Caenorhabditis elegans: one gene and its partner. The protein of the gene in region 1 interacts with the protein of each later gene in a pairwise test. Each region holds a gene or a part of one and is shown on either strand. Other genes may lie near its edges.

Region 1 (7,186 bases):
GGTTTTTTTTTAACAAAAAACTTGAAATTTCAGAGAATAACGCCTTTTTTTGGTAATTTTGATTGAAAAATTAACATTTAGTGAAATTTAGTCAAAAGCTTGAGTATTATTACTCAATTTTTGATACTTCAGCGGCTTAAAATGAAATAAATTTGGCGGAATTTCAAAAATTCAATTTTAATTAAATATATCATCATTTTTCAGATGTTTTAACGGTGGTGTAGTCGAATTTTTTAAAAATTGCTTTATTAGACTCAAAATCGTCTGAAAACACCGAATTTCATAATGAAACTTCTTGAAAACTTTTCAAAAAAAAGTCATGACGGCTCAAAAAATGGCCTAAAATTAGTTAAAATTTGACATTTGACTTGTCAAGCGGCTGGAAACTAATTTTTTTTTAAATCACCGTCAAATTTTGAGTATACAATGTAATTAGCTTGCGTTTTCAACTCTGATTTAGGTATTTTAAAGTCGATGGACGGCGAGATTTTTAATTTTTTAAAACCAAATCTCGCCGTCCATCGACTTTAAAATACCTAAATCAGAGTTGAAAACGCAAGATAATTACATTGTATACTCAAAATTTGACGGTGATTTCAAAAAAAAAATTGTTTCCAGCCGCTTGACAAGTCAAATTTCAAATTTTAACTAATTTTAGGCAATTTTGTGAGCCGTCATAACTTTTTTTTTGAGAAGTTTTCAAGAAGTTTCATTATGAAATTCGGTGTTTTCAGACAATTTTGAATCAAACAAATCAATAAAAAATTCGACTACACCACCTTTAAAATGAGATAAATTCGGCGGAATTTCAAAAAAAAAAAAACCATTTTTATAAAATATATCATCGGTTTTGTGGTATTTTTAATTGAAAAAAATCTGAAATTTCATATTTTTCGCCTGAAACTTATGAAATTCAATTTTTAGTCAAATTTTCACATTAAATGGATCAATTTCGCCTCAAAACTCACCGCCCAAGTCATAAAACACGAGTAACCCCAGTCGTTTTCCTTCGATGTATACGTATGTGTCGTTCGTCGGGCAAAGTGGGGCACGTTTGGCTTGTACGAGATCATTCGCATGTCGGCTATCGCGTGGACGCTCCATTGGCTGGAAAAAGTGTGAATTTTCGGGGTTTTTGTTGGGAAAAAATGGCAAAAAATGCTAATTGGGTGGGAAATTTCACAGAAAATGTGGATTTTTGGCATTATTTCGACCCTGAAAATGGCGAAAAACAGCAAATTTCTGTATTAAAAATGGTAATTTGGAAGCGGAAAATGTCATTTTTCAAGAAATTTCACCGAAAATTAAATTTTTTTTGTGTTTTTTGCCAAGAAAAATGGCGAAAACAGCAAATTTTTGTATTAAAAATGGTAATTTGAAGCATTAAATGTGAATTTTTGTAATTTTTGGCAAAATTTCAGTCGTGAAAATGGTAAACTCAGCTTAAAATTGGGAATTCGAAGTTGGAAACTTCGACTTTCGATTTTTCTATTAATTTGAGCATTTTAAATCGAAACATGACAATTTTCAGGCCAAAAATGCGATTTTCGCCCAGTTTTGCAGTATTTTTCCACTTTTTTCGACACAGATTCAGTTAAAATACAATTTTTCGCGTTTTTTTCTCGAATTTCCCGGGCTCTCCAACATACTCAGAATAGGCTCTTTCGGGTGCGCATTGCAGGAAGAATCCCATGCATTTTTGTTGTTTCTTCTGAACCATATGCTGTTTCGGCATCACCATTATCTTCCACGAGACACCTTCGATCGATTTTGGCGGCGAGCACATTGTCTCCTCCAACTGCGAGAATCGATTGATTACGAGCCGAAGTTTGCAGTTCTCGTCGTTCCATGATGGTCCATCGACGGCTTTTCCGTTTGTCGCACCGGCCGCGGCGTTTGATGAGGAGGCGTTTGCGTTCGAATTCTGGAAGGGGCGAAAATTGAATTTTTTTTCAATAAAAATGGATTTTCATCTAATTTTCTGGGATTTTTTGTCTTTTTAAAGTCTTTTTTTTTTAAATTTTTGAAATTTAATCGCAAAACCGTTTCAAAATTTTATTTTATAAGAAATTTTCCTGGTTTTCAGCAAAAAAAAAAAAACAAAAAACTAGCAAACCTGTTTCTTTCCTTCACCAACGACGCCAGTCGTCGACGCGGCACGAGCCTTCTGTGTCGTCTGGCCTGCCTGCTGTGGTTGCGTCGTGTTCGTCGAACTATTCAGACTCGGCGGCTTCTTCTCACCAAAATAGGCTTCAATTTCGTTGGGCTTCACGCCTGCCGGTCCGGTTAGCTTCTTATCGGCCTGGAAAAATTCTCGTTTTTTTTCAAAATTTTAACTTCAGAATTCCTTTTTCTCGAAAAAACCGCCGGGAAATGCCTAAAAAACATGAAAAAATCGAAAAATTGATAATTGTCAAATTTTCCATAGTTTTAATCGTTGATTTCAGTGAATTTTGCCCAAAAATCAACAATTTTGATGTGTTTTTATCTGATTTTTACGCAATTTTCGCGTGGTTTACACAGAAAATTGAACAAATTTCGCTCAAAACTCACTGCTGGGGCTCCCGATGGTGCTGGCGACGAGGAAGCGGCTTGATTGGCTGGCGTGGATGCTCCGGAAGCAGATGCAGATGACGATGTTGTGTCGACTGAAATTTTGATTTTTTTTAATGCTTCAAAACGCGAAAAATGTCGCATTTTCTTCAATTTTCATAAATTTTTAAAGCAAAAATCGTCCAAAAATTCGGGTTTTTCTCGAATTTTACCAATTTTTCAGCAATTATATTACCTGCGCCTGTGCCTACATGTGACGTGGACGAGGACATCAGCTGGCTCATTTGTTGAAACACACTGGGACTTCCTTGCTCCGTCTGACATCCAACATCACAGCCTGTCTTCGTTCTAAAATATCGAGTTTGAGGATTTTTGTAGCAGAAACATGCGATTTTCTCCAAAAAATCATATAAAATAACCGAAATTTATGATTTTCTAGCGGTTTTGAACATTATTTCGGTAATTTTAACGTTTTTCACCAATAAAAATCGATTTTTCAACGCTAGAAATTTTTGAATTTCAGATGAAAAATCAATTTTTACTAATTTTCCTGTGAAATATGCAACTTTTTCAGAATAAAAAATCAAAAATGAAGGAAAACATCAATTTTTGATTGTTTTTCGTTAAAAAATCGATTTTATTTTCATCTTTTTGTAAAAAAAATCACTGAATAAAACATTAAACATCAATTTTTCAACAAAAACTACAGAAAATTGGAATTTTTTCACATTTCCCACTGTTTTCAAGCATTTTTCAGTATTCAGACTTCAAAATGCGTGGAAAAAACAATTTTTCCAAGCAATTTGGAGTTTCGATATTGAAAAAATTGCTCAAAACGGTGGGAAATGTGAAAAATAATCCAATTTTCTGTAGTTTTGTGGAAAAATTGTGTTTTAATTCATTTTTCATTCAGTGATATTTTATTCAGTGATATTTTTACAAAAAGATGAAAAATATCGATTTTTAACGACAAATTATCAAAAATAATAGATTTTTCCACGCATTTTGCAGTCTGAGAGGAAAATGTGAAAAATAGTTAAATTTTCTGTAATTTTTGTGGAAAAATTGGTTTTCAATGGTTTTTTCTAGTTTTCTGGACTTTTTTTTCACTTTCTCAGTGCAAAAGACCAATGTTCCGCAGAAACCGGTTCGGTTATACATCCTTATACATAGTTGTGTGACTGGTAATTCATCATATCACACACACACCCACACACAACAACGACGACGGCCCGATTCTATTCATAATGATTCATCAGTCCGTGTTTCTCTGCGTCTCTTCTCTCTCTCTCTCTTACCTGGCTTTTTTCTTCTGAATAACTTCACTTTGTCCTTCCATTTTTTGTGTGGTTTTTTTGGATTGTATAGGGGGGTTCCGTGGGGGTTTAGATGTTCGCGCTTTCAAGCAACTAACGAACTGCAATTGAATACGGTGCTGCTGCTGCTGCTCGTCGGTTGATTTGAGTCGAAAATCGATCGCAACGGTGTTTTTTTACTGGAAAATTTGATGGTTTTTGAAGGATTTTTTGGGGGTTGGAGAGGAGAAAAGCTGAGAATTTTGAATAAAATCAATGGGGAAAAATCCGAGATTTTTAGACCCTTTTGGGTCCCGCAGCGACTGTTTACGATTAAAAAAAACCAATTTTCTCGGAAAATCGCAATTAACGAGTACAAAATTCAACAAACTATGTATTTTCAGATATCAGGTTAATTTTCGTGGCGAGACCCGACAGGTGTTCAATTTTCACATAAAGCTCAAACCTTTAGCGTTCTGCTGTAAACTGCCACATTTTAATTGAATTTCACTGCGAAAAAGCGAAATTCGTGCAGATTTCGCAATTTTATCGCTTAAAACCACGAAAAGTGTGGAATTCATAGAAAAAATAAATTTTTTTTTCAAATTTTTAGTGGACTGAACAGTGAAAAATATTCGAATTTGTGCGAAAACTTTGAATTTACACAATTTCACTTTTTAAAAATTAAAGAAAATCATGCTTTTTTTTTCTGAAAATGAAAAAAAATTACCGACATTTCTGAAATTTTAGTGAAAATTCTTGGGATTCTGTGACTTTTTGCAGATAATTTACTCCATCGCAGCTCAAATTGACTTAAAAAAACTGACTATCTACCACTAAATGAGAAGATTTTCCCGTTAAAAAGTTCGCCACGAGTCCAAAAGTAACGAGCAAACAAGAGAAGCCGAGCCGACCGCAACGAGTCGAAAAAAAATCAATCAATTCGTAAATCGATGGGGAACGGAATGGGGGGAGAAAACGAAGACAATCTGCGGACTACTAGAGACCCGGAGAAGGAGGAGGTATACGACGACCCAAAAACTATTGTTGAAGAGAGAGAGAGCGAGCGGCGAAGAGAGAGATCACGACAATCCAAGAGAGCACGAGACAGCGTGTCGGATAAACCGAACGCGAGTAGAGAGACTGAGGGAAAACGACGCACAAGTCTTTGCTGCTGATGCTATTGGCGGCGGCGGTCGGGGGGCAGTCGGGCGACACCGACCAACCGACGGTCATATAGACACACATTGACGCGGGGAAGAGGAGAAGCGAGGGATGGAGAGACACGATGAAGAAGAAGAAGACACGTCGGAAATCGATCAAGTAGCCGCCAGCAGCAGTAGCTGCAGAAGTAGTAGTAGTAGTTGCATCATCGAGGGTCCTGTGAATCGTACGATCATGTGGAGAAACTTAATTTTTCGACATTTTTGAAAAAAAAACTTAAGATTTTTTAACAAAAAAAAAATTTTTTTTTTTTGAGGGAAAATCTTAAGATTTGAAGTCGAAAAACGAATAATTTCGATTTTTCGAATTATAAAAAATCGAAAATTTTCGATAAAAAACTAAAAATGCTCAGAAAATTAACCAAAATATGATTTTTTTTATATAGTTTTTATTTTCCAAAAATCGAAAAACCGACACCATTTCTCGGCATCTAACAAAATTCCCAAAAAAAATTGGAAAAAGGCGACCGTGCCTCCCTACATCCTGTATTTTAAGGATTTAGGAACAACAAAACCGAAATATGCACCTGGTATCAGAGTGTCTCATTTCGGTTTGATCTACGTAGATCTACAAAAAATGCGGGAGAAAAGCCGCAGAGTTCGCAATTTTTTGTAGATCAAACCGTGATGGGACAACCTGCCACCACTTGAATATGATTTAAAGCGAGAACAACGGAAAAATGGACACTGCCGTAGTATTAAAATTGAATCTTCCAAGGAATCTTGCATTTTCCTAATGAGGAAATTCAAATCATGTACTCTTTTCCAGAATTTCCTGCCGTTCTCAGAAAAATATAATCAATGATTCGACTATTTCTGGCCGTGACATAGGAAAACCTCCGGGCGTAATTTTCATATAAATATGCCGTATTGTGACCGTAGAAAATCCCCGAGAATTGGAAAAACTGGGATATTTTGTTGAAAAAATGCGACACTTTTGCACAAAAATTCCAAAAAATGAGAATTTCTCATTTCCCCCCTCAAGTTCTCGCTCATTTGAACGAAGTAAGGCGAAAAACCTGTGTAGGTGACAGCGGCGGGCGGATCAAAAACCCCAATTTCGCGAATTGGATTGATTCTCGAATGGTTGTTATAAAAGGAGTCGTCGTCGTCGTGGAAAGAATGGATCGGCTGACTGTCTGAGACTGGCCACAAGATGGGGAAAAAAGTAGTGGCAAGGACGAAGGAACGGATAGAGATGGCGGAAAACGATTACGGTATCTTCTTCTCATTTTTCTTCAGCGACAAACACACCAAGGAATTTCGTTTTGGTACTGGAAATAGTACTCAAAAAACCAAAAAATCGAGTTCAACGAGAACCTATAATCCTTCAGTGCGTTGGTCTTTGTTGACCGTTTACACCCATATAGATTCCGAGAACATACGTCATACAATACGTTGCATAAGGATTTTCCAGTGAAATCCTAAGAAATTGGCTCTGGGAGTGGAAAAACTGTGAAGAAATAGGCATTTAGAATATAGATTCGCAAGAAATTCGATAAAAATCTCCATAGAAACGTCCAGAAGACCGATTTCAAAGAAATCATGGTTTTCTTCAAGCATCAGTATTTAAAAATATTGATGGGGAGAATTGAACTTTGAACAATTATTTTAGCAGAAAAACGGCGGGCTCTGCAATTGCGACAAATTTTAGGTGACATGATGGAAAAGCTTCACATTTCGTGCATTATAAGAAAATTGATCGGTTTCGGAACAACTCCGGCAACTTTATTGAGTAGTTTTGGAGCCAATTCGTGTCTAATAGCACATTGGGTAGAAATTTCTCCAAGAAAAACGAACAAACCGTAAGAAATTTACCAGATGTTCAGATATATTCTACAGACCTGCTACTAGAAAAAACAGCGAAACAGTGATGGAATCCAGCAAATATCAGAGGAAACAAGAATGAAGCAAAACAATAATGGAAAAGCGCGGGTGGATGCGAAAACACGTTTCCCACCAACGAAATATCGATTTTTCGCGGAGATTTCGAAACAATAGATGATAATTCTGCAATAAAAGCACATCGTGAAGCTGAAAATAAAGAAGAATGATTAAAAACAAGAGTCCATAAGCCGATCAATATTTGACGGGCGCGACACTTGGCTAAAAATC
Region 2 (6,401 bases), on another chromosome or scaffold:
CTCTCATACTTTATGCTTTTTTTCTCTAATTCTTTACTCTCTAATGCATGTCACTGGAGCGCGTTTTCCTCAAAAAAACTTTAGCCGAGTTTTTTTGTCAAAATTTCGTAAAATCTCTTCAAGCAGTCAGCTGTTTTGGTTTCCTTTGATTGTCACGTGTATTTATTCATGACTAGTTAATCGCCAAGTTCTCGTCTTTATTCCGTTCTTAATTACACAAGTTAAATATAATTTTCTTACAGAAAATATCGTAGACGTAGAGCAAACCTTCGTAGTGAAAATTATATAAAAACGAGAGATGTCGGTGTACACAGCAGTTCCAGGTTAGTTTTCATTTGATTAATTAATTTATTAACATTCAAGTTTTAAAAATATTTAAATTCAGGTGTATCGAGAGATGACGTCATAAAGTTTTCAAAAGATTTCATGGCTGGTGCAACAGCAGCTGCAATTTCAAAAACAGTGATTGCTCCAGTGGAACGGGTCAAACTAATCTTACAAGTAAGTTTTCAGTGAATTTGAGCATTTTTTGATGTGTAGAAAATACTTGAAATCATAAAATTAGCTTTTGCATCATTTTTTTAATTTGCATTTTTCAGCTCCAAAACTCGCAGACAACGCTAGCTCTAGAAAATAGATATAAAGGAATAGTGGATTGCTTTATCAGAGTGCCTCGAGAACAAGGATTCCTTTCATTTTGGCGAGGAAATTGGGTGAATATATTAAGATCGTGCAGTCAAGAATCTCTAGGATTATCTTTTAAAGAATTTTTCCGGAAATACAGTCTGGAAGGAGTTGATCCCAAAACACAACACTCCAGATGGTTAGTAGGTTGGTTTAATGAAAACGATGGCTAAGCATATTTAATTGTATTTTTCAGGAAATCTGGTAGCTGGAGGTGGATCAGGATGTGCTACTCTTGCCACCATCTATCCTCTTGATTTTATAAGAACGAGGTTGGCCATCGATTTGGGAAAGAGAAAATCGGTAAAAGATTCTTTTAAAAGTTTTTTTTTTTAATTAATTAAATTTTCTAACGATTCAATGTTTTCAGGATCGCGAATTCACGGGAATGTTCGATTGTGCTAAGAAAATAATTAAAAGTGACGGAGTTCCAGGCTTATACAAGTAACTGATTTTTTTTGTGTAACTGATTTCAAATTATTTATTTTTCAGAGGTCTGATTCCATCGCTTCAATACATGATTATCTATCGAGGAGCATATTATGGTCTGTTCGATACAACGGCTCCATATATGAATAGTGACGGAAAGATGACATTTACTGAAGCATTTCTTGTTGGACAAGTCGTCACTCTGATCGCTGCAATGACATCTTATCCACTGGATACTGTAAGAAGACGACTGATGATGGGTGCTGGAAAGAAGACGTTACCGTTCAATAACACAATATCCTGCATCAAAGTAAGATCATTTAATTGCTTCTCGGACAAAGATTTATTTATTTTCAGTACATTTACACGAAGGAAGGACCCAAGGCATTTTTCCATGGAGCCCTGGTGAACGCGATTCGTGGAACTGGTGCAGCATTGGTTCTGGCGATTTACAATGAACTTCAGAAGTACATGTGACAACCTTCCATAATATAGATAATCTTTAAAATTTCTAGTGCATTCTCTTATTTGTTCGAAAATCAGGCTCTTTTAGAAATACGTGTAAATTTGTATGTTGAAGCCTGTGCCCATTGTTTTCTGTTATGATAACGAAGAAAAGCTTTTTTTGAATCATTTTTTTTATTCAGTAACAAAACAAGATCACTGATCCACAGTTATATATGATCCATTGATTGTGCGTTCACCGGAAAGAAGAATTCCTTTCGTTGATGTTGGAGCAGATGGTGATTTGATAGTGAGCACCGCCTGAATTTCAACAATAACTAATGAACGACAATATTGCAGATTTCACGAACCTTTGCTGATGCATCTTTTCCAAAACCATGGCTTACTGGCGACATCTGGACAAATACGTGGCAGCGGGGTTTCAGAATATCCACAGCATTCGAATGGATAGAGAAAGAAGCGAGAAGAAGCGCATTTTCTTGTGATAACGTCTTTAAATGTGTGTAGATTTTGTGCACGAAAATGGTAGTTTCAACTGAAGTTGCTCCAAATTGCTCCAATATTGAAAGATCATCGAAGAGAATAACTGACGCAGAGGAATCAATTAATTTCTGAAAAATTTTGAGTTAAACAATTTTTATTCGAAAAAAGATATATGCTGAAATACCTTGTACAACTCGTCCATAATTTGTTCAGAGGTGATATCAAATAATTCGAATGGTTTCAAGAAATCGTAGAAACTAATTTGAGTGGGATTCCATCGAACTCCAGCCTTCGAACAAATCAGTCTATAACAATTAGTTTTACTTTCCATTTTATAAAGATTTACTCACTTGTAATTTGTTTCAGACAATTTGGTCGAAACAATAGCGACTTTTTGACTTGAAGTCGAAGCTGTAGAAAGGAAATGAAGAACAAATGGGAGTGACGACGCGTTATCCACTTCTTCACATACAATCAAGCCCTTAATTGACTCTTCTTGTCCTTTTAGAATTTTCAGCATTTTTTCTTTTTCTGAAAAATGTTTTTTTGTATGAAATCAAATGAAGAAAACGAAGTTTTGCAGAAAAATGAAAATGATACAATTTTAGTTTGTCCGAGAGGAGTACAAATGACTCGTAAATCGGTTTCCCCTCCCTTGGGTCTCGCAGGGAAGAGCCGTTGCCTCGACGACATTTACGGGCATTTTGATATTTCAAAACTGTTTTTTTGGCAAATTTGCATAATGAACACTTTTCGTCGATAAATCATCGTTTTTTGTGATTTTTTGCAATTCACATTTAAAAAAGAGTTTATTGCAGGCATGAGCTTGGGTCAATTGTCATATACACCAGTGACGGATGTTGGAATTGGAGCAATTGAGTTGTATTTTCCCCAGAACTTTGTCGATCAAAATGATTTAGAAAAGGTATTAATACCATTATTTCTTCAATATTGATTCCTAAATTGCAGTTTAACAATGTATCCAGCGGAAAATACACAATTGGACTGGGGCAACAGCAAATGGGATTCTGCTCGGACAACGAGGACATCGTATCCATCTCCCTTACAGTCACAAGGAAACTTATTGAAACTTACAAAGTAATATTCGCTATCAAAGTACTTAGTTTCCTCAGTTTCAGTGTGTTTAGATCTCGACTGATTCGATTGGCTGTTTGGTTGTAGGTACCGAAACAATGATCGACAAGAGCAAAAGTGTGAAGACAGCTTTAATGGACTTATTTCCTGGAAATTCGGATATTGAAGGAGTCGACATCAAAAATGCCTGCTTTGGAGGCGCACAAGTGAGTTTTTTGTCTCTCAAAATAGAATCTTCAATTATATTTTCAGGCACTGCTGCACGCTATCGATTGGGTCACAGTGAATCATCCGCTTGATAAGAAAAACGCAATTGTAGTAGTCGCGGATATTGCAATATATGAAGAAGGTCCAGCGAGATGTACAGGCGGTGCAGGAGCGATTGCTTTTCTTATTTGTCCAGATGCTTCTATTCCGATTGATCGGCAGTTTTCAGCGTGTCACATGAAAAACACGTGGGATTTCTTTAAGCCAATTAGTAAGCTATTAATTTCTCTATTTACTTTTAAAAAATTAAATTCCAGCGCCGATTCCGAGTGAATACCCCGTTGTCGATGGATCATTATCATTGAGCTCATATTTGGAAGCAGTCAGAATGACATACACATATTTCATATCAAAAGTTAATCGCCATACAACGGGTATCGACGGGCTGAACTCATTTGACGGAGTGTTTCTTCACTCACCGTTCACGAAAATGGTTCAAAAAGGCCTGGCTGTGATGAACTATACTGACTCGCAACTTCGTCACAAGCAATTGTAGGTTGATTAGTTTAGAAAAATTTTCAAATGTTTATTTTATTCAGAAATGGAAATGGTGTCGATCATAAACTCGATGAAAACGATCGCGCTGGACTTGCAAAAATGATCGAATTGTCTGCTCAAGTTTGGAAGGAAAAAACAGATCCATATCTTGTTTTCAACAGGCGAATCGGAAATATGTATACTCCATCACTCTTTGCTCAACTTTTAGCATACTTGGCAGCAGATGATTGGTATGATGAAGAATATACCGATTTTTAGAGCTAATTTTTAAAATTACTTTTCAGCGTCACCGGGGAGAAAAGCATTTTATTCTTCGCCTATGGAAGTGGTCTAGCGTCAGCAATTTTCCCAGGAAGAGTTAGGCAGACATCTAATCTTGATAAAATTCGTCAAGTCGCAATAAGGGCGATTAAAAGGCTCGATGACCGAATTCAGTTTACTCCAGAAGAGTTTACAGAAACATTACAAAAAAGAGAAGTTTTCCTACGATCAAAAGGTGAGTAATTCTAATAGTGATTGGTTTTTAATGTCATTTTGTTTTTCAGAGATTCCAAAATCTCCATCCGAAACTTCATTGTTTCCCAACACTTATTTCCTTGATAACATGGACAAGCTTTATCGCCGATCATATACTTTACACGAGGAACCAAACGGTGTTCAAAACGGGAACGGAATTCATCATTAAAAATGTATCTTTTGTTTTTTTTTTTTTAGTTTTTAATTTTATCACATCGTTTGCCATAGTCTACTTCTTTGTTACTGTTTTTTATTCGCTCATTAGAGTTGTATTTTCTTTTCTTTTTTTTAAATTAAAACGAGTTGTTTTTTTCTGATAATTGATTTTGTTGAACACGTGTACTATTGTCACGACAATATTTTCCATTTCTCGAACGGCTCAATTTAATTTCAAAGTTAAGATGGGAAGAGATCGGTCGTCAAGCTCGGACACAGACGACTACTACCGCTCCAGCAGCAGCAGGTATGCACCGGACTTTTGAACGAAACATGTTTCATTTGGAGGACCATGATGTGAAGCGGTTAAATATAAATTCCAGAACAGCTTGTGGGAAGCTTCGTGAGCCCCACGAAACCACTGCTCTGAGCATCTTCAAAAACTCACCGCAAGCTCGGTTCTGAAATTTCGCCGCTTAAAATTCATATCTCACCGTTCCTGAATTTTTTCACATGAAACATGCCTAGTAAAAAATCCTGATGGCACCATCGGCCCCTCAGAAGTAAACCATCCAAAATTAGAATTTCAGAAAAAGAGAAGATTCACACCGCCGTCGCGACGATCGGCATCGGGACTCGGATCGAGATCGAGATCGACGAAGGAGAAGGTACGATGTGTTCTTAGTTTTGGATTGCATGATGTACTCATGATGTCAACACTCACGGGTTCTTTTCCCTTTCTGGATTAGGACGTTTCCCACTCTAAAAAGGGTTAATTTCTGATGAAAAACAATGAAAAATCAGAAAAAAACAAAGAATTCTCGGCAACAAACATACACGTTGCATAAGCCCTCATTTTTACAGAAAAGGTTTGCGTTCATTTCCGCTCTTCGCCACTCTCCGAGTCTCAAATGAGAAAGTGATAATAATTGTGTTATTTTGTGTACATTTTATAAATAAAATAAACCGCCGCTTAGTACTTTTTATTTAAATCCGACTTTAGCGTTTAGCGTCAACTGATGGGAAGGAGCACACAAAAGCTGTGGATGAATACGGTTTTGAGCAACACGAAGAAGCTTAATAATAATAATCATGATAATATTTCTAATTTCGTACTATCAAAATTGTTTTCTATGTTTTTGCATGCACATTGAAGAAACTCGAAATAATTTACTCTACTTTAACTAACCAAACTTTCAGCCGTTCTCGTTCCAACTCGAATCGTCATAGAACAACAGGAGGATCTCAACGGAGTCGTAGTAGCCGACATGGATCAGATTACAAGGATACCTCGTTGATGACTCGACCTTCTGTGGCAAGCCATTTCGGTACTCCTCCAATTGATGTGGCTGATTTCGACAATTGGGTGAACATTCTTGCGAAAGTGGATCAGAGTGTACGGCATTCTTTTTGTGGCACGATTAACTTTATATTTTCACAATTTTCAGGATGATGTGGATTTTGCCCGCGAAAAGTATCGCTCTTTCCTTTCGAGATATCCAAATTGTTACGGATTCTGGCAGAAATACGCCGAATACGAGAAGAAGATGGGGAATATTGCCGAAGCTAAAGCTGTCTGGGAAAAAGGAATTATCAGTATTCCGCTTTCGATTGATCTCTGGCTCGGATATACTGCAGATGTGAAGAATATCAAGAACTTCCCGCCAGAATCCTTGCGAGAGTAGGTTTTCTCCTCATTCAGATATTACACAGGCGTCTCAATTCTCACGCGCATGGGTCTCGCCACGCTGAAAATGAGTTACTGTAATTTTCAAGTCATGTCGGTTTTCGACCCGCTATAGCATTAA

Evidence for each region.
Region 2: the proteins of pqn-87 (region 1) and hmgs-1 interact in a two-hybrid assay, tested with the Caenorhabditis elegans proteins (one large-scale study listed by BioGRID).

Annotation. Positions count from the first base shown.
Region 1 is NC_003280.10:12,217,742-12,224,927, forward strand, and holds the start of pqn-87 (MATH domain-containing protein), read right to left. Parts: upstream 3,893-7,186; coding exon 3,852-3,892; intron 2,902-3,851; coding exon 2,789-2,901; intron 2,649-2,788; coding exon 2,554-2,648; intron 2,303-2,553; coding exon 2,117-2,302; intron 1,925-2,116; coding exon 1,650-1,924; intron 1,108-1,649; coding exon 969-1,107; intron 1-968.
Region 2 is NC_003283.11:5,681,068-5,687,468, reverse strand, and holds hmgs-1 (Hydroxymethylglutaryl-CoA synthase), read left to right. Parts: upstream 1-2,879; 5' UTR 2,880-2,881; coding exon 2,882-2,986; intron 2,987-3,030; coding exon 3,031-3,159; intron 3,160-3,209; coding exon 3,210-3,362; intron 3,363-3,408; coding exon 3,409-3,634; intron 3,635-3,680; coding exon 3,681-3,915; intron 3,916-3,962; coding exon 3,963-4,151; intron 4,152-4,205; coding exon 4,206-4,417; intron 4,418-4,466; coding exon 4,467-4,606; 3' UTR 4,607-4,748; downstream 4,749-6,401. Other genes in the region: F25B4.7 (ADP/ATP translocase), read left to right, coding at 299-323, 386-501, 600-831, 881-987, 1,055-1,128, 1,177-1,423, 1,471-1,590; F25B4.4 (Elongator complex protein 6), read right to left, coding at 1,774-1,878, 1,929-2,189, 2,246-2,366, 2,412-2,581; prp-39 (Pre-mRNA-processing factor 39), read left to right, coding at 4,839-4,900, 5,184-5,261, 5,794-5,989, 6,042-6,274. UniProt on the Caenorhabditis elegans protein: This enzyme condenses acetyl-CoA with acetoacetyl-CoA to form HMG-CoA, which is the substrate for HMG-CoA reductase.